Anolis sagrei: one gene and its partners. The protein of the gene in region 2 purifies or fractionates together with the protein of the main gene of each other region. This does not show direct contact. Links are inferred from orthologs where the notes say so. Each region holds a gene or a part of one and is shown on either strand. Other genes may lie near its edges.

Region 1 (7,504 bases), on a different chromosome or scaffold from region 2:
ACCTTGGATCAGTTACTTAAAATGATTTTCAAACTTCACTAAATGTTTTTATTAATGGCTTCAATTTAAAGAGTTGTTGCTCACCCACTGGATGGCCCTGGGTAAGTCACATTCTCTTGGCCCAGAGGAAGCAAAAAACCAACATGGAACAATTCTTTCCAAGGAAAAACTGTGAAAGGTTTGTGTTATGCTCGCTGTAAATGGGAAATGACTTTAGGGCAGTTTTGAGGGCAATGGCTACACTCATCTTCAAACATTTATTTATTGTCGAAGGCTTTCATGGCTGGAATCACTAGGTTCTTGTGGGTTTTTTCGGGCTATAGAGCCATGTTCTAGAGGCATTTCTCCTGACGTTTCGCCTGCATCTATGGCAAGCATCCTCAGAGGTAGAGGTCTGTTGGAATTAGGACAATGGGTTTATATATATATCTGTGGAATGGCTGGGGTGGGGCAAGGAGCTCTTCCCTGCTGCAGTTAGGTGTGAATGTTCAGCTGATCACCTTCATTAGCATTTGAAGGCCTGCCTGCGCCTGGGAAAATCTGCTGCTGGGAGGTGTTAATCTGTGCCTGGTTTTTTCCTCTCTGTTGTTTAGCTGTTATAATTTTAGAGTTTTTTAATACTGGTAGCCAGATACTGGTAGCCAGATACTGGTAGCTGAACATTCACACCTAACTGCAGCAGGGAAGAGCTCCTTGCCCCACCCCAGCCATTCCACAGATATATATAAACCCATTGTCCTAATTCCAACAGACCTCTACCTCTGAGGATGCTTGCCATAGATGCAGGCGAAACGTCAGGAGAAATGCCTCTAGAACATGGCTCTATAGCCCGAAAAAACCCACAAGAACCTAAACATTTATTTATTTAATATAATTATTAGGAGCATTTCTGTCCTGTCCTTCTCGCCTCCGAAGAGGGACTCAGTACTGCTACCAACAGGCATCATTCAGTGCCAAACAACAAAAGAAGCACAATATACAATTAACCTATATTAAAAACAATTATAGATACATTAAAACAGTTCGCCATTTCACGTCATCTTCCAAATCAAACATATTAAAACAATATACAGTAATGAGGAAAGGCGTCTGTGGTGTCCAAGCAGTAGAATGGTTTTTAATTAGATATATCTGGTACCAAACTTGATACCATTCTGGACATTCCACATATATATAAACCCCACTTGCCTAGTTTCCAACAGACCTCACAACCTCTGAGGATGCCTGCCACAGATGTGGGTGAAATGTCGGGAGAGAATGCTTCTGGAACATGTCTATACAGCCGGGAAAACTCACAGCAACCCAGATTTTAAAACTGTTTCATTTTTTAAAATCTGTGATCTGTTTTGTATCCATTTAATCCGTTTAATCTCTATTTTGTGTATTTTAATAGACATTTTATAGAAATACGTTTTAATATGTAACTTTTGTAGAAATATGTTTTAATATATGTTATCTGTAGCGTTCCTGCAATGTTTATGTGTTTTAATTTTTCTGTAACCTACTTTGAGCCATGAAGTGAAGTAGGTAAGAAGTCATTTTGTTGTTGTTGTTGTTGTTATTATTATTGTCCACCTGTCTTCCCTCTCTGAGAAACTCCAGAGCATAAACAGTAAAAGTTAAACTATACTTAGGGCTCTTACACAGTCATATAACCCAGAATATCAAGGCAGAAAATCCCACAATATCTGCTTTAAACTGGGTTTATTTGAGTCCACAATGTATAGTATTGTTTAGTCCAGTGTTTCTCAACCTAGGGTCCAAGACCCCTGGCAGCCCCCGCGAGAGGTGTCAAAGGGGTCATCAACGATAATAAGAAAACATGGTATTTTCTGTGGCCATGGGGGTTCTGTGTGGGAAGTTTGGCTCAATTCCATTGTTGGTGGGGTTCAGAATGTACTTTGATTGTAGGTGAACTGTAAATCCCAGCAACTACAACTCCCAAATGTCAAGGTCTATTTCCCCCAAACTCCACTGGTGTCCATTCTTGGGCATATTGAGCATTTGTGCCAAGTTTGGTCCAGATCCATCATAGCTTGAGTCCACAGTGCTCTCTGGATGTAGGTGAACTGCAACTCCCAAACTCAAGCTCAATGCCCACCAAGCCCTTCCAGTATTTTCTGTTAGTCATGGCAGTTCTGTGTGCCAAGTTTGGTTTGATTCCATGGTTAATGGAGTCCAGAATGTTCTTTGATTGTAGATGGACTATAAATCCCAACAATTACAAAATGACCAAATTAACCTCCTACCCCACTAGTATTCAAATTTGGGCGTATTGGATATTTGTGTCAAATTTGGCCAAGTGAATGAAAATATATCCTGCATATCCGATATTTGCACTGCGATTCATAACAGTAGCAACATTACAGTTATGAAAGTACAGTTCTAGTTATGAAAGTAGCATTAAATATCATTTTATGGTTGAAGGTCACCATAACATGAGGAAGGGGTTGCAGAATTAGGAAAGGTATTGTTTTTATGTTAATTAATTTTAATGTTTTTTATTTGTTGTTATTGATTGTTTTTATTGTGTCTGTTTTATTGTAATCCTGGGCTTGTCCCCTGTAAGCCGCCCCAAAGTCCCTTCAGGGAGATGGGAGGCGGGGTATAAAAATAAAGTTATTATAAGGTTGAAAAACACTGGGTTAGTCCTATTTTTAACGGTAATTCTCAGCTACATTTATCCAGCACCTACCAGTTACCTCAGGCCTGGGTCAACTTTTGCCCTCCCTCCAGGTGGGCCAAAATCCACCATTCCTAACAGTCTCAGTCCCTTTCCTTTCCCCCTCAGCTTCAGGCTCCTTCCTTCCTTCCCCCCACCCCCTCAGCTGCTTATGGTCCTGTGGCTGTTAGGAATGATGGGAGTTGAAGTCCAAAACACCTGGAGAGAGAGCCCAAATTCATTTGTATATGAAACATAAATCGGTGTTATCTTCACTATATGTTGTGCCCCGCCTCGAGCTGTGAGGAGAGAGGGAAGAACAAATGAAATGGAATATTACTGGAAAGAACTCCAATAATAAGCCGGAGGGGATGGAGATCTAGTAGGCCAGACCCACACGGCCCACAGGGGCACACAAGAGCCCGAGCAGGGGGCTCCGGCCTAGCCAGGCCCGCCTCTCACCTCCCTACGGAACCCGGCGCGGCCCAAACCCGCCCGCGAAGGACACTTGTCCGGCCCCCCTGAGGGCGACTTCCCTTTCGCGGCCCTTCCCTTCCCTCGCGCCTCAGCCTGGCCCCAAACCGCCTCAGGCCGCGCTACCTGCCGCCGGCGCCTCGACCGACCTTCCTTCCTGCCTCCTTTCCCCTCAGGAGGATTCCGAACTGGGCTTGACAGCGCCAACCGCCGGCTCCGCCTCTCTCGCTTCCGGGCGCCTACGTGCTTACGTCATCAAGCACGCCAGGAAACCCTAGACTAGACCTTTTTGTAAAACAATAGAGTGAACTCCACGTTTAGATTTAGAGCAGCCACCGGCCAAGTTGGGCTCTAGCTCCAGGAAACCCTAGACTAGAGATTTGAAAAATTTAGAGTGAACTCCACGTTTAGATTTAGAGCAGCCACGGGTCAACTTGGGTCCTCTTTCCAAGAAACCCTAGACTAGAGCTTTTTTTAAAAATAGAGTGAACTCCACGTTTTGCTGTTAGGGGATTTAGAGAAATCAACTCGAAAGTTTTGGACTTCAAGTCCCACAATTCCTAACAGCCTCAGACCACTTCCTTTCCCCCCTCAGTCTCTTAAGCTTAGGGGAGTTGGACAAGAGTCCCCAACATCCCCAAACAGGTTCCTCTACGGCTCTACAGGGCCCTAATGCCGGTCCTTTTGCCGCCGCCCAGTGGAGACATCAGGAATTGCTGTTCTGCTCCTTCCTTGAAACCGCAGAGGCGCTTTTCACCCAGGACTCCGCGACTCCAATGTACAATCCTTTGCTGCCATCAAGTGGCCAGATTGGGAAATGGCAGCCCTTTATTATATTTTCCGCAAAGCCACTCCTTCATTGAATCCATATATATATATATAAGGAGGGAGGAATTTATTTATTTACAATATATATATACCGCCTTTCTCACCCCTGGGGGGACTCAAAGCGGTTAATAAACAATCAATCAATCAATCAATCAATCAACAATAAACAAACCAACAAACAATCAGGGCCAGCTAGGTAAAGATAAAGGTTTTCCCCTTACTTTATGTCTAGTCGTGTCTGACTCTGCGGGTTGGTGCTTATATACATTTCTAAGCCAAACTGTTGTTAGACGATCCCTCAATGTCTGAGTAGGATTGTCTTCCAAGATTGGTGGATGCATAGGTGACTGTGGAGCCCTATTCTTGATCTGCATGTTCTCCTGCAGTGAGGGCATTGGTTTCTAGGTGGTAGGCAGTCAGTCCCGGTCAGGGTTGGCTTGATGCACCTTCCTCTTGGCACGTTTTTCTCTTTCGCCCTCCATTCGTGCCTCTTCAAATTCTCCAGCACTGCTGGTAACAGCTGACCTCCAGCTGGAGTTCTCAAGGGCCAGGGCTTCCCAGTTCTCAGTGTCTATGCCAGAGTTTTTAAGGCTGGCTTTGAGTCCATCTTTCAATCTCTTTTCCTGTCCACCAACATTCTGTTTTCCATTCTTGAGTTCAGAGTAGAGCAACTGCTTTGGGAGACGGTGGTCGGGCATCCGGACAACGTGGCCGGTACAGCGGAGTTGATGGCGGAGGACCATCGCTTCAGTGCTAGTGGTCTTTACTTCTTCCAGCACGCTGACGTTTGTCCACTTCTCTTCCCAAGAGATTTGCAGGATTTTCCGGAGGCAGCGCTTACATTTCTAAGCCAAAGAGTAGCAATAAAAACAATGTTATGATTGGGGGTCACCACAACATGAGGTATTAAGGGGTTGTGGCATTAGGAAGATTGAGAACCACTGCCATAGCTGGCCAGTTTTCTAGGTATTTGTAACATCTGCAAGAAAAATCTGTCTTTTTTAAGACTTGGAGACATCCCCAAAGTGTGCCAATGTCTTTAAATATTTAGTGTCACATATCATTAGAGTAAGGCATTATATAATTAGCCCTTGCAAAGAGAGCACCATCTAGCGAGCGCATCTAACACTAATGAAATAATTCAAAAGCTAAAAGACTGTATAGGGAATTTAAGTCTAATACCCACTGAAGTGTGGCTTGATCCTTCTCAACCCAATGGCCCTCCATGCAAAATTGTACACACAAGACAAAATTATATATACATTATATATTGGTTTTACTTGTTTCATGAGAGGGTAGAGTGAGGAGATGAGGGCAATAACCAGGGTTTTTTGGGGGTGGGGGAAATGGGTTTCCTATGTCTGTATTAAAAACAAGTGCAAAGTCAAATCTCGTAGTGAGTTAAGGTTTGTTCAAAGGTGCTGCCTTCCAGACTTTTGAGGCTTGCTTAGAATGTGTTTCTTTGCTTCTATATACACATACTAGCTGTCCCCTGCCATGTGTTGCTGTGGCCCAGTCTAATGACCTTGGTGAAGGGAGTTGGACTGGATGGCCTTAAGTATTTTCTATTGGTCATAGGGGTTTCTGTGTGGGAAGTTTGCCCCAATTCTATCATTCGTGGGGTTCAGAATGCTCTTTGATTTTAGGTAAACTATAAATCCCAGTAATTACAACTCCCAAATGTCAAGGTCTATTCCCCCCCCCCCCCCCCAACTCCATCTGTGTTCATATTTGAGCATATGGAATATTCGTGCCAAGTTTGGTCCAGATCCATCATTGTTTGACTCCACAGTGCTCTCTAGATGTAGCTGAACTACAACTCCCAAACTCAAGGTCAATGCCTATCAGTACCCATGTCATGGGAGTCCTGTGTGCCACGTTTGGTTCAATTCCAGCATTGGTGATGTTAAGAATGCTCTTTGATTGTAGGTTAATTATAAATCCCTGCAACTACAACTCTCAAATGACAAAATCATTTTTTTGAGTGAAAAACATACATTGAGTTGTTAAGTGTATGCTGTCCAAATTTGGTGTCAATTCGTCCAATGGTTTTTTGAGTTATGCTAATCCCACAAACGAACATTACATTTTTATTTATATAGATGTGGTCACGAAATGCATGTACTATATACCTATTTTCCCCCCAGAGGATTATGTACTCCAAACCACCAGCGTAAGAATACCCCGGTTGTTCAGGATTTGGGATATTAGCCAGAAGTTCCTTTTCCTGATGGGCAACATGCTACTAGCAAAATCTCGAAATGCTAATATGCCAGGTAACTACTGCAATTCTTTGGCTCTGTGTTTTCATCTCAACCTTCTACTTGTCCAGAGTCAATACTGGAATGCATGCATACATTCTTGGGCCGGACTGCTGACCAAAAGGTCGGGGTTCACATCAGGGTAGCGGGGCGAGCTCCCAACTGTCAACTCCAGCTTCCCATGCAGGGACATGAGAGAAGCCTCCCACATAATGGTAAAACATCCGAGTGTCTCCTGGGCAACGTCCTTGCAGACAGCCAATTCTATCACACCAGAAGCAACTTGCAACTTCTCAAGTTGCTCCTGACATGAAAAAAGATTAAATAGACACTCCATGTTGCTAATTCTCGCTTGAGCTTCTCTAAACGTTATAAAACAATTGCAGACTTTGGACTTTCCAAACAGATGATGATACCTGGGATTTTGAGAAAAGTTGGTTTGTTTGTTTGTTTTTAAAAAATGGAAGTTTGCAAATGTTTGAAAGACACTACTAGATTAAGATTACCTAACCCTGCCTCATGATTTGAGGATTAAATGCTTGCTCCAGGGAATCTTTTGAGCAGAATACAAAGGCTTGTTTGTAAACTCCATGGTTTTCAGTAGTAAATGCCCACATAACTTGGCAGTTTTATTTTTCTTCCTCAAGCCACAGCTATCAGCTTTTTGATTTTTCTGGATATTTGCAAGTCTTAGGTGAATCCAGAAATTTGAAAAACTGCAACTACTTCCAAGGACATACAGAAAATTCCAAGGTAAACGACAGCTGTCCTCTAAAATATGCTTATTATGTTCTGGCAACATTCCCTTCTGCAGGCTTCATTTACCTGAATCAGTAAAGGGAATCAGCACTTTTATGGGGTTTTTTTTCCATGTCAGATAGAGTTAGTGAGATTTTTTTTCATGTCAGGAGCGACTTGAGAAACTGCAAATTGCTTCTGGTTTGAGAGAATTGGCCTTCTGCAAGGACATTGCCCAGGAGACGCCTGGATACTTTACCACTCAGTGGGAGGCTTCTCTCATTTTCCTTCATGAGAAGCTGGAGCTGACCCCCATAAGAGATAGTAACTTATAGTTTTGCTAAGGACAAAGACAATAGGGGTCAAGTCTTGGTCAATTTACAAAGACACTAACAACAACAACAGGGACCCTTCCCATGTCAGATAGTGTGTACATTTAATCAGTGCCCTATATTTCACCGCTTTGAGTTGCCTGAGGGCTGAGAAAAGCGGTATATAAATAAAGTAAGTAAATAAATAAATATAGCAGAAGGTAACAAAT
Region 2 (7,278 bases):
TTCTTTCCCTGATGGTTTAGGTTACAACCACCACCACCCAGCCCCCCCCCCCCAAAACCCCCCAATAAAAAACAAAAAAATAGTGGCCAACATTTCACCTTATATTATTTCTTTAGAACAGTGGTTCCCAACCTGTGGTCCATGGACCACCAATGGTCCCCAACAATGAAAATATGGTTTGTGGCCATTATTACATCTTACCAATATTATTACCTTAGAGCAGCGATTCCTAATTTATGGTCCATGAACCACCAGTGGTCCCCATGAACGAAAATATGGTCTGTGGTCTCACTTACTACACTGTTGCCTCGAAGCCACGCAACAATGAGAGTGACTGGTCCTGCGAAACTCTCTTATAGTGCAGAGGCAACAGGGATATGGGGAGGGGAGAGGCTGACTACCCATGAAAGATTATTATTACCACATCAGCTCTAGATGAGCTCTAGATGAGCTACCGGGCTCAATTCAAGGTGCTGGCATTGGCCTATAAAGCCTTAAACGGTTCCGGCCCAAGATACCTTTCCGACCGCATCTCTGCCTATGAACCCACCAGGACTTCGAGATCTTCTGGGGAGGCCCTGCTCTCGATCCCGCTGGCTTCTCAAGCACGGTTGGTGGGGACGAGAAATAGGGCCTTCTCGGTGGTGGCCCCTCGGCTGTGGAACGCCCTTCCCATGGACATTAGATCGGCCCCATCTCTCATGGTATTCCCTAAAAACTGAAGACCTGGCTGTGTGTGCAGGCATTCGAATAACTAGTACAATGATTGGTAATGAACATAGGAATGAACAATGGATGACGAATCTGGATTATGTTTTTGACGATAAGACGATTGGGTTTGGTTATGGTAGTAATTGTGTACTGAGCGGGTAATGTGTTAAGTTGTTAATTGTTGTTATATGTTGCATTGAATTATTGCTGTTTTTACTGACTGTGAACCGCTGTGAGTCGCCTTCGGGCTGAGAACAGCGGTATAGAAGCAAAGTAAATAATAAATAAATAAATAAATTATTAAATATGGTTTTCTGTGGGCAAGCAAATGGTGACTACTGGATGACATATGTTTTGCATCAGAAGCTAGAGCTGATGTGGTCTGCCCAATGCAATTTTCTGAATTAGTACCCCAAATAACCAAACCAAATCTACACTTGACCCAAACCCGATTTGTAACCCATTTGGTACTACTGTTGGAGAGTGGTCAAAAAAAGGTTGTGAACCACTGCATTGAAATAAGACAGACACAAGTAGGGCAGCAGTGTTGCAACTATATCAAAACAGAAACTGGGCAAAAAGACATACCTGAAAAGAGACAGCTTCCTCTCCACAAATATGGAAAGGAGTGGGAAGACACCTGTGCTCTCTTTATATTGGTCACCTGTGTGTATGCCTCCGTCTGTCAACTTATGGCAACCCCATTAATTTCATAGGGTTTTCTGAGACAAGAAATACTATTCCTGTAGTGTGGAATGTTTGCCTTTATTTTACCCTTAAACATGTGATGCCATATGGCAGCCTGATTATCCAGAAAGCCACTTCCATGTCCTTTGGCACAAACTGGAGACTCAGACACAAAGCAATATTAATGTGTTGCAAGAAGCATAGTACAAAGTAGGCATATCTGTATTGTGTTAGTATAATGTTTTATTTTGTACTGCTCTTTGTAAGAGCTTAGGGTCTTATTGTGCTTTAGAAAGGAGAATATTCTTAATACATCTGTGGTTATGAAGTTATGGCCAAAACTATTCTTAATAATCTCAATGTATTGTTGAAGGAATATTGTTTCTTCCATTCCCATTCTGTAATTTCTGTGTGCTTTTAGTCACCTGTTGATTTACAATAAGTCTATAAATATTTAGTATGTCTTAAGCAGTAAATGCCCAGTAGAGTTTTTCTGCCAGCCATAAGTCAACCTAATGGCAGGGTTGCTGAGAGTTTTCCAGGTTGTATGGCCATTTTCCAGAAGCATTATCTCCTGACATTTCGCCCACATCTATGGCAGGCATTCTCATTTCCAACAGACTCCTCAAACCCCTGAGGATGCCTGCCATAATGTGGGTGAAACATCAGGAGAGAATGTTCCTTGAACATGATCATACAGCCCGGAAAACTTGCAGCAACCCTGCCACTAGGTTGACTTATGGCTGGCAGAAAAAACTCTACTGGGCATTTACTCACAGCAACCCAGTGATTATGAAAGCTTTGGACAACACAACCTAATGGGAGATAATGACAAAAATCCAGCAGCCACTGGAAGGTAAGCAGGGTTGGCCCTGCTAGTAGCTGGATGGGAAGCCAACACGGTCGTAACTCTATGCAGTAACAATCTATCTGTCTGCAGCATCTGCCTTTTTTCTGTACAGCTTTCTAAATAACCAAGCATTGTTGGTTTTTCCAGGGGACTGTGTGTTCTTATGGGCACCAGTTGCCCTGACACGACAAATAAATAAATAAATGGGCGCCAGTTTGAGCGCTGGACTACAGGTGCATCTTCACTGTAGAACCAATCCAGTTGGGCCCCATTCCTAACTGCCCTGGCGTCTTGGGGGTGGTCGTTTTGCATGGCCTTGAGCCTTGCCTTTCAAAAAGCGCAAGCCAAAACTCCCGTGGCTCCACAGCGCTGACAGTGTAAGCAGAAACCTCAAGGGCACTCTGAGGAGCCAAGGAAAGACACCGGGTGACCTCGGGCAAGCCGCACTCTCTCAGCCTCAGAGACAGGCAAGGGCAAACCCCTTTCTGCCAAGGAGGAGGAGGAGGGGAAGGTGGAGGAGAGGGTTCGCTCGCCATAGGTCAGAAACGACTGAAGGCCCAAGCCTGCCTCAGAGGAGGGCAGAGAGCTCTTGAGGGAGAGAACTCTTCTACAGGGCGCGGCCTCCTCCCTCCTCACCTCCCCGCGTCGCCCCTCCCCCCGTTGTTGTGCGCGCGACCCCAGCTGTCAGCCACGCGCCCCCTCGGGAGTGCCCGTTTCCCCCTCGCCTCGCGCCCCTGGCACGTGGCCTTGGGAAGCAGGCAGGCAGTCAGTCAGTCAGTCAGTCAGTCAGTCACGGGGAGCCCTCTGCCCTCCGCCTCCCCCCGCTCACTCACCGGTTTGTGGGCAGCCGAGCCCTTGGGCAGCAGCAGCAGGCGGGAAAGGGCGGCCAGCATCTTGCGCATGGAGGGCAGGGCGCTCACCGCCACATACACACGCCGCGGCCTGCTCTACCCTCGGCTGCTCCCAGCCCCGCCGCGCACCGGAGGAAGGAAGGAAGGCAAGGCCGCCGAGTCTCCTTCAACCTCTTCTTCCCTCCCTCCTCCCCTCCTCCTCCTCCTCCTCCTCCTCCTCCTCCGCGGAAACCCGGCCGACGAGGAGCTCCGCTCAGAAGGACAGCGGAGGAAGTGTCGGCAGCGGCGCTCTTCCGCTCGCTCTCTCTCGCTCTACTGCCCCCTGGCGGAGCCCGCCGACAATGACTGACTCCTCTGGAGACGAGATAGCTCTCTCTCTTTCTCTCCTTCCCTCCCTCCCTCCACTGATCTGTCTGTCTATCCATCCACCCACCCATTCATCTATCTATCCACCCACCGATTTATCTGTCTATCTACCTATCTATTTATCTATCTATCCATCCATTCACCCACACATCCATCCATCTACCCACCCACCGATCTATCTATCCACCACCCACCCATCCATCTACCCACCCACTATCTGTCTGTCTGTCTACCTAACCCACCACCTATACATCCATCTATACATCCATCCATCCATCTACCCACCCTCTCTCTCTCTAATGTATCCATCCATCCATCTACCTACCAACTATCTGTCTGTCTACCTAACCCATCATCTATACATCCATCCATCTATCCATCCATTCATCTACCCACCCCTCTCTCTATCTAATCTATCTATCCATCCATCCATCCATCTACCTACCCACTATCTGTCTGTCTGTCTACCTAACCCACCATCTATACATCTATCTCTATCTATTATTATTATTATTATTATTATTATTATTAACTTTATTTGTACCCCGCTAGCATCTCCCGAAGGACTCGATGCGGCTTACACAGGCCGAAGCCTCAAAACACAATACAATAGAAAACATAGCACAACAATAACAAAGCAAATCAAAACAATAAGCAAAATAACGACAATGGCAGTACATCAAGACATTATTAAAACTGGTTCGGCCGGCGCAATGGGGTACAAGGGTTAAAAGTGCTGAAATGGCAGGAGGCACGTAGGATTAGAAGTGCGGTGTGCAGCGACGATTAGTTATGCTAAGGTGCTACTAGGACTTGGGGTGGGGATTCCTAGTCTGAGAAGGCACAACGGAATAGCCAAGTTTTTAAATTCCTTCTGAAAACAGCTAGAGTAGGGGCCTGTCGGAGATCTTTTGGAAGGGCGTTCCAAAGTCGGGGGGCCGCCACAGAGAAAGCCCTGTCCTGTGTCCCCACCAAGCGCGCTTGCGACGTAGGTGGGATCACGAGTAGGGTCTCCCCAGATGATCGAAGCGAGCGTGTGGGTTCGTAGATGGAGATGCGGTCACGCAGGTAGGGTGGTCCCAAACCGTTTAGGGCTTTGTAGGTGAGCACCTACACCTTGAATTGGGCTCGGAAAATAAATGGCAGCCAGTGGAGCTCCTTAAACAGAGGGGTAGACCTCTCTTGATAAGGAGCCCCAGTTAGGATCCTAGCTGCCCGCTGGACCAATTGAAGTTTCCGAGCCATCTTCAGGGGCAGCCCCATGTAGAGCGCATTGCAGTAGTCCATTCTAGAGGTGACCAAGGCGTGGACCACGCCGGCCAGATCAGCCTTCACGAGGTATGGTCGCAGTTGGCGCACAAGTCTCAGTTGCGCAAAGGCCCTCCCGGATACCGCCGACACCTGAGCCTCAAGTGTGAGCGAAGAATCCAGGAGGACACCCAAACTGCGGACCTGTGGCTTTAGGGGGAGTGTAACCCCGTCCAACACAGGTAACCATCCTATACCCCGATCCGGTTTACGATCGACCAGGAGGACCTCTGTCTTGTCGGGATTGATCTTCAGCTTGTTCTTCCTCATCCAGATCAACACAGCGGCCAGGCACTCGTCTAGCACCCGAGAAGCCTCCTTGGAGTTAGGTGGAAAGGAGTAGTAGAGTTGTGTGTCATCCGCATAAAGATGGCACCCAACTCCAAAACCCTGGATGACCTCTCCCAGCGGTTTCACATAGATGTTGAAAAGCATGGGCGACAAAATGGAGCCTTGCGGGACCCCACAGGTCAAAGGCCAGGGGTCAGAGCAGGCGTCTCCCAGCTTCACCATCTGGGTCCGTCCCTCCAGGAAGGACCGGAGCCACGACAGAACCGCGCCCCCGAGGCCCATCCCAGAGAGACGACCCAGAAGGATACCATGATCGATGGTATCGAAAGCCGCTGAGATGTCCAAGAGAACCAGCAGAGTCACACTCCCCCTGTCCAGTTCTCTGCGGAGGTCATCCACCAAGGCGACCAAGGCTGTCTCGGTACCATGACCAGGCCTGAAGCCAGACTGTGACCGATCTAGGTAGTTGGTATCGTCTAAGAAGCTCTGGAGCTGCGAGGCGACCACCCGCTCCAGCACCTTACCCAGAAAAGGGAGGTTGGAGATTGGCCTGTAGTTACTCAGCACCGTGGAGTCAAGGGAAGCTTTTTTGAGGAGTGGCTGAACCACAGCCTGCTTCAGATTAGATGGAAAAATCCCTTGCTCCAACGATGCATTGATAATCAATACAAACCAATCAAGCAACCCCTCCCTGGCTGATTTGATGAGCCAAGATGGGCATGGGTCTAGAGATGAGGTGGTCGCCCTCACAGCCCCAAGAATCTCCTCTACGGTTTCAGGAAGAACAGGCCTAAAAGAATCCCACAAAGTCAGACAAGCAGATGCCTCCGTCACCTCTTCTGGCACTGCGATGGAATTGGAGTCGAGCTCAAGGCGTATCTGGGCGACTTTACCTGCAAAATGGTGTGCGAAATCGCGACACCTAGCTGCTGGGTCATCAGTGACCTCCTCCACCACAGGAGGATGGAGGAGTTCCCCCACGACCCGAAACAGCTCCGATGATCTATTTGCAGCAGACGCTATACGGGAGGTCGTGAACGATTTCCTGGCCCCCCATATAGCCACGGAGTATGCCTTAAGAGAGGCTTTAGCCCGTGCTCGATCAGAGACGGCTCGAGATTTCCTCCATTTGCGCTCTAGCCCCCTTCTCGTATGCTTCATCACAGCCAGCTCCTCGGTGAACCAAGGAGATGGCCTGTCACGACGCAACGAGATGGGACGTTCGGGTGCGATCATATCTAATGCCCTGGACATCTCCCCATTATAGAGAGTTACCAAGGCGTCGATAGAATCGCCAAGCTCCAGGGCAGGAGGAACCCCAAGATTCCTCAGGAATCCATCCGGATCCATCAGTCTCCTAGGGCGGACCATTTTAATTTGTCCTCCACCCCTGCGGAGGTTAAGAGTCGCAGCAAGTCTAAAAGTGATCAGATAATGGTCAGACCATGACACAGGAAGGATGTTTTGATCTTCCACTCTGATCAATTCGTTGTCCATCACAAAGACAAGGTCAAGAGTATGTCCAGCTTGGTGAGTGGGGCCAGATATTATCTGTGACAGTCCTATGGTCGTCATGGTGGCCATAAAGTCCTGAGCTGCGCCAGATAAGGTGGTCTCAGCGTGAATGTTAAAATCTCCCAGCACCACCAGGCGTTGGGAGACCAAGGCCGAATTAGAGACCACCTCCGCTAGCTCAGACAGGGAAGCTGCTGGGTCGCGGGGTGGGCGGTACACCAGCAGGAACCCCACACTGTCACGGCTCCCCACTTTCAAGTGGACACACTCAAACCCGGAAGCCTGCGGGACAGCGCATCTGATCACGGCGATGGATTGCCGAAAGACTACTGCGACCCCTCCTCCCCGCCCCCCTTGTCTGGCCTGCTGATGCACTCCAAAACCTGGTGGGCATAACTGAGAGAGATTTACACCCCCCAGCTCGTCCAGCCAGGTCTCGGTGATGCATGCCAGATCCGCCCTCTCATCCAGGATCAAGTCTTGAATGGCCGCGGTCTTACCATTAACGGATCTGGCATTAATCAGCAGGACCTTAAGACCAAGGGGGCTGCCAAGGAGCCTACCACTACCCACCTTTTCCAGGGTCGCAAGGACTCTGTTGCGCTTCTCCCTGGGATGTTTGTGACCCACAAGTCTCCTCCCCCACACGTCTTGGATGCCCCCCCTTCCTCTGGAACTCCCCCCCCCCTACATGGCCGT
Region 3 (7,855 bases), on a different chromosome or scaffold from region 2:
TTTTCACCCTCGGCAGCCTCAGTCCCTTTCCTTTCTCTCCTCAGCAGCCTCAGTCCCTTTCCTTTTCACCCTCGACAGCCTCAGTCCCTTTCCTTTCTCTCCTCGGCAGCCTCAGTCCCTTTCCTTTCTCTCCTCGGCAGCCTCAGTCCCTTTCCTTTTCACCCTCGGCAGCCTCAGTCCCTTTCCTTTTCACTCTCGGCAGCCTCAGTCCCTTTCCTTTTCACCCTCGGCAGCCTCAGTCCCTTTCCTTTCTCTCCTCGGCAGCCTCAGTCCCTTTCCTTTTCACCCTCGACAGCCTCAGTCCCTTTCCTTTCTCTCCTCGGCAGCCTCAGTCCCTTTCCTTTCTCTCCTCGGCAGCCTCAGTCCCTTTCCTTTTCACCCTCGACAGCCTCAGTCCTTTTTCTTTTCCCCCCTCGGCAGTGGCGGGAGGGGGGGGGGAGGAAGCGGCCTGAGGCTGTTAGGAATGGTGGAATGGTGGGAGTTGAGGTCCAAAACACCTGGAGTGCTGAAGTTTGCCCAAGCCCGCTGTAGAGAATGCTGGGATGTTTCCCGCTGCATCCTTTGAATGCCACTCTCTATGGCTCTTGTAATTAGTTTTATTTTACTATCAAGGTACGACAGGATCTTTAAAAAACGGTTTTATATTTCTCCAGCGAGTTCTTGTATAGGCATTTTATGTGTTGTTCCTCTAGAAAGAGCGGTAGTGCCTTTCTAACCTGTGTCCGCTGTTAGCATTCGGAGCGTGGTCTTCGTCGTCATTCGGAACAACTGCAAGACTGAAAAGGAGGGGGGAAATTGTTCCTTTCTCTAAGAAGAAGGGGAAAAACCCCTTACTTCCTTTCGTGGAATTAACTGCCAGTTTCTCTGTTGCATGAGTTTTTGTACATTGCGAAAGACAGCATGGAGTTAACTTTACGGAAACGAACGAAATATTGTCTGGTTTTCTTCAACAAGGGTTACGTGCTTCAAGGTGTTTTTAAACTGCATGTCAGTTGAGTTCATTCTTCCATTTTGTAAACACAAGGCAGGATGGTGGTCATTTCAGAAAAGGGCTGAGCAATCCTGCACACAGTTTACGACTTTAAATCCCATGGATTTTGATGCAACCAGCCCAAGATTTTGCAGGACATTCACTTAAGACCTTTCAGCATTCATAAAGTTGAAGCAGTTATAATCTTCGCCTAAGATCTTCGATTTGTCAAAGGCTTTTATGGCCGAATCACTGGGTTGCTGTGAGTTTTCCGGGCTGTATGGCCATGTTCCAGAAGCATTCTCTCCTGCCGTTTCACCCACATTTACGGCAGCATCCTCAGAGGTTGTGAGGTCTTGTCGAAGGCTTTCATGGCCGGAATCACTGGGTTGTTGTAGGTTTTTTCGGGCTATATGGCCATGTTCTAGAGGCATTCCCTCCTGACGTTTCGCCTGCATCTATGGCAAGCATCCTCGGAGGTAGTGAGGTCTGTTGGAACTAGGAAAATGGGTTATCATGAACACAGTACAATATCAGTGCTATACATCACTATATTGTATTATACAATTATATTGTAATATTATTAGTAATATTACATGTAATATAAAATATATAATTTTATTATTATTATTATACTATATGGTGTTGCAGTTTTGAATTTTTAAATTATTTTTACAAGGCCATTAAATGCTAATCAAGGTGGCCAATGGGAACAATCAGGTGGAAACAGGGGCAGCTCACACCTCCCAACATAGGATTCCCCCAGACAGGAAGCAGCCAGGATTTGAAGCTGCAAGGCCATTAAATGCTAATCAAGGTGGTAGTTGCCTCAAGCAGACAAGAGCTCTTTTTCTCTATAATGCCCACTTGCCTAGTTTCCAACAACCTCTGACATAGATATGGGCGAAACGTCAGGAGAGAATGCTTCTGGAACATGGCCAGACAGCCCATAAAACTCACCGCAACCCAGTGATTCTGGCGATGGAAGCCTTCAACTACACATAATGATATTTTGCCTAATACCTTTGGTTTGTTTATTGTATCCCTACAGTAACACCAAAGATATAACCTTACAGTGAATTTTCAGCACTGGAGGATCCAAGACCCTTGTTCTGAATCTTATATATGTGCAAAAGCCTTGTAAGTCGCAGGTTTATCAATCCTCTTCTTGTCGTCTTTGCAGAGTGAGGTCAGCATGGATTATTAATTGGACCAACGGGCAATATGCATTTTTAATGAAGAGGGAATGTTCTCGTTCTTTTCGTCTTTGCGGCTGATTTGTTTTGCTTCCTTCTGCAATTCCTTTCTGGGTCCGTGTCCTTGCAGAACCAACATTGCAAACGTTCCATACCAGGCTTGGGCAAACTTTGTCCCTCCGGGTGTTTTGGACTCCAACTCCCATAATTCCTAACAGCCGGTAGGCTGTTAGGAATTGTGGGAGTTGGAGTCCAAAACACCCAGAGGGCCAAAGTTTGCCCATACCTCTTCTATACTCTTCTGTTTTGCCTAGAAATATTGTAATTGCAAAACTCTTTCTCTGTGACCAAGAAGGACCTGGACCTTGTTTGTGTGCCGTTGACCGTTGGACGTACTTTTGACCCAAGGACAAAGACTTTAAAGGAAAGGAACTTTTAATAAAGTCTTCAAAATAAGCCTGGTTTGTTTCATTACTACTTCTATAGGCCCAGGAGTCTTTCAAGGAGGTCCACAAGTGATTGTGGAGACCTGTTCTGGATCCACATGATGGTCTTTCACTATGAAGACATACATTTCCAGAGGGAAGGTAATATCAACAAGGGTTTGCTTGAGGAACCTTCTCAGGACGTTTCTCCCTTTGGCCCTCAATCCTTCTCAAAATCCTAGCACAACTGACTTCCAGTTAGATTCTCAAGGGCCAGGATCTCTCTATGTTTTTGGTGTTTATGTCACTTCACTTAGGCAATCCCTCGTTGGCTGAGTAGTATAGTCAGTGTTCTGGTGGGTCTGTAGGTGACTGTGAAGCCATATTCTTGACCTGCATCGTCTCCTGCAGTGAGGACATTGGTTTCCAGGTGGAAAGCAGTCTCGGTCGGGATTGTCTTGACGCGCTTTCCTCTTGGTATGTTTCTCTTTTTCGCCCTCCATTCGTGCCTCTTCAAATTCTGCAGCACTGCTGGTCACAGCTGACCTCCAGCTGGAGCGCTGAAGGGCCAGGGCTTCCCAGTTCTCAGTGTCTATGCCACAGTTTTTAAGGTTGGCTTTGAGCCCATCTTTCAATCTCTTTTCCTGCCCACCAACACTCCGTTTTCCGTTCTTGAGTTCGGAGTAGAGCAACTGCTTTGGGAGACGGTGATTGGGCATCCGGACAAAGTGGCCGGTCCAGCGGAGTTGATGGCGGAGGAGCATTGCTTCAATGCTGGTGGTCTTTGCTTCTTCCAGCATGCTGGCATTTGTCCGCCTGTCTTCCCAAGAGATTTGCAGGATTTTCCGGAGGCAGCGCTGATGGAATCGTTCCAGGAGTTTCATGTGAGTTTTTAGAGTTTTTTAATACTGGTAGCCAGGTTTTGTTCATTTTCATGGTTTCCTCCTTTCTGTTGACATTGTCCACATGTTTCTTGTGGATTTCAATGGCTTCTCTGTGTAGTCTGACATGGTGGTTGTTGGTGTGGTCCAGCATTTCTGTGTTCTCAAATAATATGCTGTGTCCAGGTTGGTTCCTCAGGTGCTCTGCTATGGCTGACTTCTCTGGTTGGAGTAGTCTGCAGTGCCTTTCATGTTCCTTGATGCATGTCTGGGCAATGCTGCTGTGTTTGGTGGTCCCTATGTAGACTTGTCCACAGCTGCATGGGATACGGTAGACTCCTGCAGAAGTGAGAGGATCCCTCTTGTCCTTTGCTGAACGGAGCATTGGTTGGATTTTCTTGGTGGGTCTGTAGATAGTTTGTATGTTGTATCTCCTCCTCAGCTTCCCTCTACGGTCAGTGGTTCCCTTGATGTATGGCAAGAACACTTTTCCTCTGGGTGGGTCTTGGTCTCGACTCTTGTGGCTTGTTCTCGGTCTTGCAGCTCTTCTGTCTGAAGTGGAGTATCCATGCTGGACCACACCAACAACCACCGTGTCAGGCGACACAGAGAAGCCATTGAAATCCACAAGCATGTGGACAATTTCAACAGAAAGGAGGAAACCATGAAAACGAACAAAATCTGGCTACCAGTATTAAAAAACTCTAAAATTACAACAGCAAAACAGCAGAGAGGAAACAAACAAGGACATCTAATCACCTCTCAACAAAAGATTGCTTCAGGCAAAATACATAAATATCAACAGTCTTGTGTAGCAATGGCCCTAGTGTCAACAGTTGCTTTGGCGCGTGCGCAGAAAAGCCCTCCGCCAGCCGCGCCTGAAAGGCACAGGGAGGGCGCGGCTTCCGCGCATGCGCCTGGAAGACTCGGGAAGCCCCGCCCACCTCTCCTTGGTTCCTTTACGGCCCCCTGTTTTTGCGGCAGTGTCGTGCGCCCTCTGCTTCTTTCCGGGAGGCACAGCCAGAGAGACAGGAGAGGGAGGTCAGTTAGAGAGCGGAGGCGGCGAAGGAAGCAAGGCAGGCGAGGGCCGGGCGTGGGCCTAGTCGCCGAGGGGAGCGATGTGGCGGGCGCTGGCCAGGCGCGTGGCCCGGCAGTGCGCGGCCCCGAGGCGGGCGGGGGCGAGCGCGGGGGAGAGGGCGCGGGGCCGCGCTTGGGCCCACCACCAGGCCTCTGCCTCCGCCTCCTCCTCGGCCTTCTCTTCGCCTCCTTGGGGCGGGACGGCGCTGCTGCTTCTCCCTCGAGCCGGAGCCAAGACAGCCGGGCCTCAGGCCGCCCCTTCCCGGCCCTGGAGCACCTACCCGACCCACCAGAAGGTGACACTTGGGGGCTCTTCTGAGGGGGAAAGGGGGCCAAAGACGATATTGACATTTGAGAGCAGGCATGGGCCAGCTTGGCCCCCCCCCTCCAAGCAAAACAGCAGAAGGAAAACAATCAGCTAATCACCTCTCAACAAAAGATTGCCCCAGGCACTGCCAGGCCATCCAATACTAATCAAGGTGGTCAGTTGAGACATTCACACGCATTCCAGGCAGGAAACAACGAGGGCCAGCTAACACCTCCCAAGCAAGGATTCCCCCAGGCAGTAAGAAGCCAGACCTTGAAACTGCTAGGCCATTAAATGCTAATCAAGCTGGCCAGTGGCAACATTCATGCTTGCTTCAAGCAGACAAGACATTGGGTTGTTGTAGGTTTTTCCGGGCTATATGGCCATGTTCTGGAGGCAATTTTTTCTCCTGACGTTTCGCCTGCATCTATGGCAAGCATCCTCAGAGGTAGTGAGGTCTGTTGGAACTAGGAAAATGGGTTTATATATCTGTGGAAAGACCAGGGTAATGTTTCAGCTGATCACCTTGATTTGCATTCAATGGCCTGGAAGCGCCTGGGGGTAATCTCTTGTTGAGAGTGATTTTATGTGCCTGTTTGTTTCCCCTCTGTTGTTTTGCTGTTGTAATTTTAGAGTTTTTTTAATACTGGTAGCCAGATTTTGTTCATCTTCATGGTCTCTTCCTTTCTGTTGAAATTGTCCACATGCTTGTGGATTTCAATGGCGTCTCTGTGTAGTCTGACATGGTGGTTATGAGAGTGGTCCAGCATTTCTGTGTTCTCAAATACTATGCTGTGTCCAGGCTGGTTCATCAGGTGCTCTGCTATGGCTGACTTCTCTGGTTGAAGTAGTCTGCAGTGCCTTTCATGTTCCTGGATTCGTGTTTGGGCAATGCTGCTGCGTTTGGGGGTCCCTACGGAGACTTCTTGGCCACAGCTGCATGGTACATGGTAGACTCCTGCAGAGGTGAGAGGATCCCTCTTGTCCTTTGCTGAACGTAGCATTTGTTGGATTTTCTTGGTGGGTCTGTAGATCGTTTGTATGTTGTGTTTCCTCATCAGCTTCCCTCTGTGGTCAGTGGTTCCCTTGATGTCTGGCAGGAACAATTTTCCTCTGGGTGGATCTTCATCTTTACTCTCGTGGCTTGTTTTTGGTCTTGCAGCTCTTCTGATGTCTGAGGTGGAGCCTCCATTGGCCTGGAGAGCCCAGTTGAGGTGGTTCAGTTCATCTTGGAGGAGGTGGGGTTCGCCCTATAGCACGAAAAAACCCACAAGTACCTAGTGATTCCAGCCATGAAAGCCTTTGACAAGACAAGACATTATTCCACGGGTATACAAACCCCACTTGCCTCGTTTCCTACAGTCCTCACAACCTCAGAGGATGCCTGCCATTGATGTGGGCAAAACGTCAGAAGAGAATGCTTCTGGAACATGGCCTGGAAAACTCACAGTTTTTGCAGTTTAGTAAATTTTCCCCATGTTTTTATGATAGTCCCAATTAGGAAATGACATTTACAACACAGGAACAAAAATTGTGTTGTGTAGTGTAATCCATTGCCTGGTTCTGGGCAATGCAGTTCAAGGAGGAAGGAGTCTGGAGAAAGGTCACGCAAATGACAGAAAGTTTGTAAACCCTGCATCCCCCTGAGGAGAGGCTTAAGGAGTTGGGGATGTTTAGCTTGGAGAAGAGAAGGTTGAAAGAGGATGCGATGGCTATGTTTTGGTGTTGAAAAGTAGGAAGAAACAGGCTTCCTTTCTGCTGCTTCAGAGACTAGGACACAATGGAGTCGCGTATTCAAACTGCAGGAAAAGAGATTCCACTTAAACATTAGGAAGAGTTTCCTGATAATGGCATTCAGCGGTGGAATATGCTTCTACCTGGGAATCCTATTTTAAGCAGAGGCTGGATGGCCCTCTGTTAGGAGGGCCTGGGTGTGTCTTTGTTCCTGGAAGAAGGGGTTGAAATGTGTGGCCTTTGGGGTTCCAACTTTCTCCCCTTGACCCCTTTCCCCTTTGCAGGTGCCTTTGCCCGCTCTCTCGCCCACAATGCAGATGGGGACCATCGCTCGGTGGGAGAAGAAGGAAGGCGACAAGATCTGCGAAGGGGACCTCATCGCAGAGGTAACCTGAACATGTTAGACCAGGTATGGGCAAACTTTGGCTCTCCTCCAGGTGTTTTGGACTTCAACTCCCACAATTCCTAACAGCCTACCCAACTCCCACAATTCCTAACAGTTTTGGACTTCAACTCCCACAATTCCTAACAGCCTACCGGCTGTTAGGAATTGTGGGGAGTTGAAGTCCAAAACACCTGGAGGAGAGCCAAAGTTTGCCCATGTCTGAGTTAAAGGGTCTCAATTTGCACCTGAGCATTAGCATTACAAAAGCTGTAACCACACTGCTTTTCTGCCTCTGAAGGTGGAGACAGACAAAGCAACCGTAGGGTTCGAAAGCCTCGAAGAATGTTACCTGGCTAAGATCCTGGTGCCAGAAGGAACGCGGGACGTCCCCATTGGAGCCATCATATGCATCACTGTCGACAAGTGAGTACAATCGGGAGCGTCTTTTGAAATATGCTTTGTTTACTACTCTTTATTTACATTTCTGACTCTTTTGAATAAGAGCCTCCCCAACTTCCTTCTGTTGAAGTTGAGGCTCCTTCTATTATTATTATTATTATTATTATTATTATTATTATGAGATACACAGGAGCGTCTTTTTTAGTGTGCTTTGTTTGCTACTCTTTGTTTACATTTCTGACTCTTTTCAATAAGAGCCTCCCCAACGTCCTTCTGTTGACGTTGAGGCTCCTTTATTATTATTATTATTATTATTATTATTATTATTATTATGAGATGCACGGGAGTGCCTTTTTAAATATGCTTTGTTTGCTACTCTTTGTTTACATTTCCGACTCTTTTCAATAAGAGCCTCCCCAACTTCCTTCTGTTGAAGTTGAGGCTCCTTCTTCTTTATTATTATTATTATTATTATTATTAT
Region 4 (8,308 bases), on a different chromosome or scaffold from region 2:
TTACAAGAATTGAGCTTGGGACTTTCCACTCACAAAAGCACATGCTCTGTAGCTCTGTTGTTCCATGATAGCAGTTCCAGATGTACTTCATGATTTCTCTAGATTATGCTCCATCTTGTTTCAAGAACTATCAAGTTATAAAACTAGATCTCAATATAAAATGCATACGCTATTTAAATGACTTCTTTGTTCTGATGCTTAGAATTTCAAGGGCAAGTAGAGTACCATCAAACATATATTAGAGACACGTATTAGAGACGATATATTCAAACACAAATTAGAACCATACAGCCTGAAAAACTCACAACAACCCAGTGATTTCAGCCATGAAAGCTTTCAACAACATATATATTAGAGACCTTTCTTGTTTGTGTTTAAGACCCTTGGGTGGAAATGTTATAAATAGGGAATTAGATTGCTATAGAGCTCCCACATGCTATTTGCCATGATTTCTGAAGTAAAAGTGACAGGCTGCATTGCTGGCTTTATTCAAAACTACTTGTTGGCATTTTGGTGATCTCTTTACCTAGACAAACTGTAGTTAGCCATCCATGAACTAAATCATGTGCTTTATCAGCTGCTTCAATCACAAGGGAAGACAGTATGCTTGTTCTTCCCAACTAAGAGGGCATGGCTAAGAACAGGGAAAGTATCTAAACTCCTCCTACCATTAATCAAGTTTTACTCCTCAGCAGCGGAGCAACGAAATTAAAAGCACACTCTGAAAATCTGTGAAGTTTACAAAGATCAGTGAAATTACACATGTAATATTTAAAATATAACACATACACAAGAATACTTGGACTACTGAAGTGAATTTAAGCAAGCCAAATTTAAACCTGGCTTACATTTTATTATCTGGCATTTGACAGTCATTTGTTACAAAATCAGTTGGAAGGGCAACTCATTTTAGTTTCAGTAATTTCCACTAAATTCTTAGAATTCAGCATGCTTCCAGGATTCATTTGCCATGCTTAAATATTTAAATCTTTACAAAAAGGTACAGAAAATGCTAGTCTGATAAGAACTTTCTCCTACTCAGTTGCACATGCGTGCACACACTATTACCAAGATAAATCCTGTTCTGTCCAAGGACATTGATGAGTCAAGACTTGGAGTACTCTTGGACTCTTTTGCAGTCTTGACCAATACTAGTGAATACTCAGAAAGGCAGCACACTTACAAGTTACATACTTGGAAGAGATCAAGCTTTGTTTGCTTTTCCTAATTTAATCAATGATCTCATGTTTAACCAGTAAGATAGCATCAAGTTGAAGGACCCAATGGTTTACCATTTGTGCATTCTGAGTAGATTCTAGCAATATATTATTACCCTTAGCTGTCCTTGTGCGTACCAGAGGCATTCCAGAATTGTCCACAAACATACTACCTAACCATTTATATGAATCACTAGCCATCCCCTGCCACGTGTTGCTGTGGCCCAGTCTGTGTATAAGTGCTTTTTGTGTGTATATGTATGCATTTGTGTATATGTGTGGTTTTGTGCATGCATTGTAATTGGGGGTGGGTGGGTGCTTTTTAAGTCTCTTCTGTGTTTTTCAACATTTTTATGAGTGATGGTCACTCATTGGACTAATACGTGTATTGTGTCCAAATTTGGTGTACATTCGTCCAGTGGTTTTTGAGTTATGTAAATCCCACAAACTAACATTACATTTTTATGTATATTGATAATCAATGTAGGCTTACACATAAGTCTTCCTACTATACAATGGGACAAGCTTGCTTATAAGACCGAGCGACCAAAAAAAATACCATTCAGGAAAGAGTACATTTACCTCAGGTGATTATTTACACAGGGAGCGGACAAGAAAGTAATCCTCAGGAGATGGTTTCAATTTCAAACTTCCCGAAGTAATATGACACCAAGGTCAAGCACTTTGGCATGAACAAGGCAGACGACTAAGGCCCCTTCTACTCTTGACTATTTAATGAAGTTGGAAACTAGCTTCAAACTGCGGAGAGCAAACAACAAAGCCCCACAAAAGCGTGCGAAAGAAACCTCTTAACGCTGAGTGATCTGTGTAATCACCATCCAGGCCTCGAAGTGGCTCCTGGATTTCCTCTGTAATCGTCTGCACAGCGAAACCACTTTCTTCAACACCGGTTGGAAATGGATTTAAGTGATTACTAGAGATGGGGCATGAGAAACAAAGGCGTGTTACCTTACCTTTGAACTCTTCAACCGGGAGCGACAGGAAGCGTTATTGTTTTGCCTGCAGGGAAGGGCTGGCGGGAGGGGACCAGAAGGGGGAAGGGAACCTACTCGGGCCGGGCTTTCTCGCCTTTCGGTTTCGGAGGGCCAAGGTCTAAGTCACACTCAGGCCGCTTCTACACAGCTGTATAAAATCCACATTGAACTGGATTATATGGCAGTGTGGACTCAGATAACCCGGTCCAAAGCACATATTGTGGCTTATCCGTCTTGATATTCTAGGTGATATGGCTGTGTGGACTTCAAAGGTATCAGGACGAGCACGGGGCTCCACCCCACATCTCTTTGTGTCGGGGGAGAAAGAGGAAGAAGCTCGCTCCTCACACCAAAATCCCTTCCGGGAAGGCCGCCTCCCTTTCGTTTTCCCTCCGGAGCTGCCGTGAGGAGGCAAGGAACTTCCAGAGCGACTCCTGCCTCGGAGAGAGAGCCAGGGCGGGGCCCGGGGCCGCTCTCTCCTCCCTCCTTGGCAGCCGAGGCAGAAGGGCGGCCTGAAGCGCCGAGGGAGCCGCGCCCTCCTCCTCCTCCTCCTGCTGTCTCCCAAACAAGCCCCGCTGGCGCTGCCTGGGCCGCACACCCAAGGCCGGGCCCACCGGGACGCCAAGCCTCGCTTAGCCCCACCCGCCAGGCCTCCCTCCCTCGTTCGCTCCCTCCCTCCGCCGCCCTTCCCTCACCGTCTCAGGGGGCCCGGAATCCTCCTCCTCTTCCTCCTCGGTGGCGACTTCTGTGGTAACTCAACAACAGCAGCAGCAGCAGCGGTGACAACCTCCTCCTCCCTGCGCCGCTCAGGTCCGCTTTAATGGGGCCAAACACCCTCCCCGTTTTCACTTCCGTCTCTCGCTCGCCCTCTTCCGGTCACGAGACCCGCCCGGCGTGCCGACGCGCCTAGTGGGCGGGGCCACGCCGGGAAGGCTTTGGGTTCCTCTGTCGCAAGAGGGTGGCCGCTCTGCCCCCGCTTCTGTCTATGGTGCCGCCTCGCTCACGTGACTCCTCTGTCAGTGAAGACAAAAGAAGCCGCTCTCTTAGTCCATCCTCAGGAATGGCTTGAGCTGCCAGGACTCCATGCGGGGGAATCCTGGGAGTGGGAGTTTGGCGAGGCCAAGAAGACTAAAGACGGTGTAAAACTACAACTCTCATGATTCCACAGCACTAAGCCAGGGCGGTCACAGTGGCATCAAACTGTACTAACTCTGTATTGTCGAAGGCTTTCATGGCCGGAATCACTCAGTTCTTGTGGGTTTTTTCGGGCTATATGGCCATGTTCTAGAGGCATTTCTCCTGACGTTTCGCCTGCATCTATGGCACGCATCCTCCTCTGAGTTGGGCTAGGTGCCCTTTGTCTCACCCTGGTCATCCCACAGATATATAAACCCCCTTTTTCCCAGTTCCAGCAGACCTCACCTCTGAGGATGCGTGCCATAGATGCAGGCGAAACGTCAGGAGAAATGCCTGTAGAACATGGCCATATAGCCCGGAAAAAACCCACAAGAACTGAATATACTAACTCTACTGCAGGCATGGGCAAACTTGAGCCCACCAGGTATTTTGGACTCCAACTCCCACGATTTCTAACAGCCTCGGGTCCCTTCCTTTTTCATAGAATCATAGAATCAAAGAGTTGGAAGAGACCTCATGGGCCATCCAGTCCAACCCCCTGCCAAGAAGCAGGAATATTGCATTCAAATCATCCCTGACAGATGGCCATCCAGCCCCTGCTTAAAAGCTTCCAAAGAAGGAGCCTCCACCACACTTTGAGGCAGAGAGTTCCACTGCTGAAAGGCTCTCACAGTCAGGAAGTTCTTCCTCATGTTCAGATGGAATCTCCTTTCTTGTAGTTTGAAGCCATTGTTTCATGTCCTAGTCTCCAGGGAAGTAGAAAACAAGCTTTCTTTCTCCTCCCTGTGGCTTCCTCTCACATATTTATACATGGCTATCATGTCTCCTCTCAGCCTTCTCTTCTTCAGGCTAAACATGCCCAGCTCCTTAAGCCACTCCTCATAGGGCTTGTTCTCCAGACCCTTGATCATTTTAGTCGCCCTCCTCTAGACACATTCCAGCTTGTCAATATCTCTCTTGAATTGCTTCAACTGCTTAAGCGGCTGAGAAGGAAAAGGAAAAGGCCCGAGTCTGTTAGGAATTGTGGGAGTTGGAATCCAAAACACCTGGAGGGGCTAAGTTTGCCCATGGCTGCTCTATAATAACAATAAGCTTTATTTATGCCCCGCCACCATCTCCCCAAAGGGGACTTGGGCGGCTAACATGAGGCCAAGCCCAAAGATACAATACAGCTCAATAAAATACAGAATGCAGACAACAAAAATATACATCAGAATAAAATACATACAGTAGCAAAATAAAATAAAGCAAACTAACATAATATAAAATCGAAAAGAATGGGCAGGCCAAATGGATGAGGTAGAATGATAAAACCCTGGATAGGATAGGAATAGAAAATATGTAATTGAGGGGAGCCCAAAAAGGATAAACAGTAGGGTAGTTTTCAGTTTAGGACGGGGGGGGGGGGGGGAGTGCGTCATAGAGACAACACTATAGATGAAGCAAACAGAAATGGGATAAATGGTCACTCTCCAAAGGCACATCAAAAGAGCCACGAATTCAGGTTTTTCTTGAAGGCTGCTAAAGTGGGGGCTTGCCTAATCTCACCTGGTAGTGAGTTCCAAAGATGGAGAGCTACAGCTCTACAGTGTAGATGCACCCTATGGCATTGTAAGAAGGGATCTAGCAGCCCAGTTCAGGCTAGTAGTTTTATTTGTTATTTATTATACACACACATACATACATAGTTTATAATAATAAACTTTATTTGTATTCCCACCCCCTCTCCCCAAAGAAAGTTGGGACAGCTCACAACACAAAAAATATACATAATATCAAACAAAAGCCTGTAAATAAAAAAGAAAACAATAAATATCGTTAAGCATAGTTAAAACAACTAATGGCCGCTAAACCCACCAGTATAAATATCAAACAGTTTAATACATTATACTTTGTACTTTATTTTTGTCTTGTCTTTCTCTCAATATTACTACCAAAGGCACCAAACAATGTAAACACATTAAAATATCAATGTACTTTAAAAAAAACCACTGTGTGCCATTAACAACATTGAAATAATTGAATTCTTTGTGCCATCAAACTATTAATAATTATAATTATAATTATAAACTGCTCTCTCTCCCCAAGGGGACTCAGGGCGGTTTACATACAAAAAGGCAAACATTCAATGCCATAGGAAAGCAAATACACACAGATTAACCTAATACAAATAACATCAATAAACTTATAACTAAAAAGATAATTGAATTACTACTAATAATAATAATACAAATATTTAAATAAAACATGATTACACTAATAAAACATAGGTCCAATAAAAATATGTAAAATATTCTAAAACATTAACATTCCACATTGACCCAAAATCCCAGTCACACCATCCCTAGCAGCCTACCTTTCATCAGTCCAAATTATATATATATATATATATATATATATATACACACACACACACACACACACACACACACACACACACACACGCGTGCACACACACACAACACACATACATATACACATGAGCCTTTTGTAAATAATAATATCTGTCCACATCTGCGTCCTTCAGAAAGATGCAAATCCTGGCCCTCTGTCCTAAATCTTCAAAAGACTGCATGGGGAAATTTGGGTCTTTTGGGTCTTTACAACATTGATCTGTGAAATTGGGAGATTTCCTTTGTTATATTTCCAGTTGTGGGGATTCATGTATTGTGTTATAAAACTATTTTCTTTATTCCTACCTCTGCTAATAGATTGCAGATTGTGAATGACATTCAATTGCTCTCACCAGTCACCCGTTGTGATTTCTTTCTTCAAGAATTGCTCCTTGAAAATCCTATACAGGCTGAGCATCCTTTAGCCAGAATTCCAGAAACCTCCAAAATCATGGTTGAGATAGTAACACTTATGCTTTGTGATGGTTCAGTGCATACAAACTTTGTTTCATACACAAAATTTTAAGAAAGACTATACAATTATTTTCAGGCTATTTATATATAAAGGTAAATGAATTTGTTTAGAATTGGGTCTTATCTTCAAGATACCTCATTGTGCATATTATATTCAAAATCTGAGTAAATAATTCAAAAACCAAAATGCTTCTAGTCCCAAGCATTTCAAAGAAAGGGTATTCCACATATACTGTTTGACCAGGAAAGTAGAAATCTATTACATTATCTCTCACTCCCACAGATCTGTAAATATGCTTAACAACCTGAGGCTTTAAGATTACTAGGGATGCATCTGCACTGTGAAATTAATGCAGATTGGCTACACATTTACTGCCATGGCCAATGCTATGGAATCCTAGGATTTGGTGACAGGGAAGGCTAAAACTACAATTGCCATTATTCCCTAGCATTGAGCCATTGAAGTTCAAGTATCAAACTGCCTCTTATGTCATAGCAGCTGAACAAATGGATTAATATTCATAAAATGTCATGAAAAATATAAACCAGTCAGTCTTAAAAGGTGCTGCTAGATTCCCCCTTTGTTGTCCCATTCCCCCCAATCTTCTCTTTATCACTGTAATTATGATAAGTAGATCATAAGCCAGGTAAGATCATGGATAGGCTGATTGATTTTCCCATGGATCCTGCAGGGAACTTTACTGAATCCTCACTGTCACAAGTTTCCAAGGGGCACTAGTACTTGCTTGCAGCAAAACCAAGAGAGATCCCCATGACACCTATACAATTAATAAATTTATTATAGCATATGCTTTCAGGAATTAGAACTGACTTGGTCAGATACATGCAGTGTTGATTTCAGCCTCAATTCATTTAGTAGACCATAAACCCCCTTAAGCAGTGCGGAGCCTAATACTGTACCTAGTGAATGCTCTGTAAAATAAACCCCTTGTTTTCACCAGGATTTCTTTTGCAGTCAGACTGCTGTCTTGCTTGGCTTACAAAACCGTAGTGCTCCACTGATCTGTTGCATTACAACGGAGACATTGAATGTATGTGTCTCTCATAGAGTGGTGCAATTTTACTTAAAAGTCCAGGGGTCACTGCTGGTTGAGTCAACATCTCTACAAATTGTCGCTTAGAGTTTACACTATAGAATTAACGCAGTTTTGCAGCAAGTTTCCCGCCATGGCTCAGTGCTACATCCTGGGAGTGGTAGTTTGTTCAGGCACCAGCATTCTTTCGCAGAGAATGCTTAGAAACCTTATAAAACTGCAACTCCCATGGGTCTATAGCAATGAACCACTGCAGTTAAAGTGGGGTCCATCTGGATTCATTCTACAGTGTAGATATGCCCTTAATTCTCTCTGCAAGTAATTTAAGTCTCAATCCAGCAAACCAAGCACATGTAACAGGTTGTCATTAATCTGGAGTTGCCCATGCTCATGGAGGAAAAAGCCAATTGGCTATTATGCTGATGATGGAAGCTTTAATTAGGTTAAACCTTTCTCATGTGAGAACATGAATTAAACAGGACACATGTGGTGCAATTCTAACTTAAGCATTTAAATCAGTGGTACTTACTATTGAGTAAATAAATACACAAAGCATTGCATTGTAAGAACAGACACACACATTACCATTCAAAAAAGGGTTATACCACCAAGAATGTGGTGCTAAGATTTTAATCAAAACGTGTTTGTATGCTTTAGTTGGATTATTATATTTATGTATACCCTGCTTTATCTCCCCAAAGTGGCTTGTCTATGATATGTTGGCTCTGATAAGTATAATTTCTGAAAATATATAGTATTAATTTCTTGAGGTCCACAGCCCTCACAACTTGGCTTAAGTAGGAGATTTGGACTACAACTTTAATAATCTCCAGTCAACATAGACAGCTGTAGTTATAATTGATTCTCACCCTGATGCCAAACTTTGGAAGCTCTTCTAGTTCAAATTTTCCACGACAACCTCTTTCACACTAGTCATAGAATCATAGAGTTGGAAGAGACCAAATGGGCCATGCAGTCCAACTCTCTACCAAGAAGCAGGAAAATTACACTCAAAGCACTCTCGACAGATCCACGTT

What was found.
Region 1: the proteins of PDHA1 (region 2) and OGDH fractionate together in Homo sapiens (co-fractionation; 3 studies listed by BioGRID). This does not show direct contact. The link is inferred for Anolis sagrei from reciprocal best matches to the Homo sapiens genes PDHA1 and OGDH.
Region 3: the proteins of PDHA1 (region 2) and DLAT fractionate together in Homo sapiens (co-fractionation; 3 studies listed by BioGRID). This does not show direct contact. The link is inferred for Anolis sagrei from reciprocal best matches to the Homo sapiens genes PDHA1 and DLAT.
Region 4: the proteins of PDHA1 (region 2) and RAB7A fractionate together in Homo sapiens (co-fractionation; 3 studies listed by BioGRID, with this or other methods). This does not show direct contact. The link is inferred for Anolis sagrei from reciprocal best matches to the Homo sapiens genes PDHA1 and RAB7A.

What each region holds. Positions count from the first base shown.
Region 1 is NC_090027.1:15,081,309-15,088,812, reverse strand, and holds the start of OGDH (2-oxoglutarate dehydrogenase complex component E1), read right to left. Parts: upstream 3,391-7,504; 5' UTR 3,286-3,390; exon of another isoform or gene 3,263-3,285; intron 1-3,262. UniProt on the Homo sapiens protein: 2-oxoglutarate dehydrogenase (E1o) component of the 2-oxoglutarate dehydrogenase complex (OGDHC). Participates in the first step, rate limiting for the overall conversion of 2-oxoglutarate to succinyl-CoA and CO(2) catalyzed by the whole OGDHC.
Region 2 is NC_090023.1:88,917,730-88,925,007, forward strand, and holds the start of PDHA1 (pyruvate dehydrogenase E1 component subunit alpha, somatic form, mitochondrial), read right to left. Parts: upstream 3,321-7,278; 5' UTR 3,151-3,320; coding exon 3,082-3,150; intron 1-3,081. UniProt on the Homo sapiens protein: The pyruvate dehydrogenase complex catalyzes the overall conversion of pyruvate to acetyl-CoA and CO(2), and thereby links the glycolytic pathway to the tricarboxylic cycle.
Region 3 is NC_090027.1:40,398,628-40,406,482, forward strand, and holds the start of DLAT (dihydrolipoyllysine-residue acetyltransferase component of pyruvate dehydrogenase complex, mitochondrial), read left to right. Parts: upstream 1-4,453; 5' UTR 4,454-4,590; coding exon 4,591-4,845; intron 4,846-6,874; coding exon 6,875-6,976; intron 6,977-7,273; coding exon 7,274-7,398; intron 7,399-7,855.
Region 4 is NC_090022.1:56,362,318-56,370,625, reverse strand, and holds the start of RAB7A (ras-related protein Rab-7a), read right to left. Parts: upstream 3,096-8,308; 5' UTR 2,908-3,095; intron 1-2,907.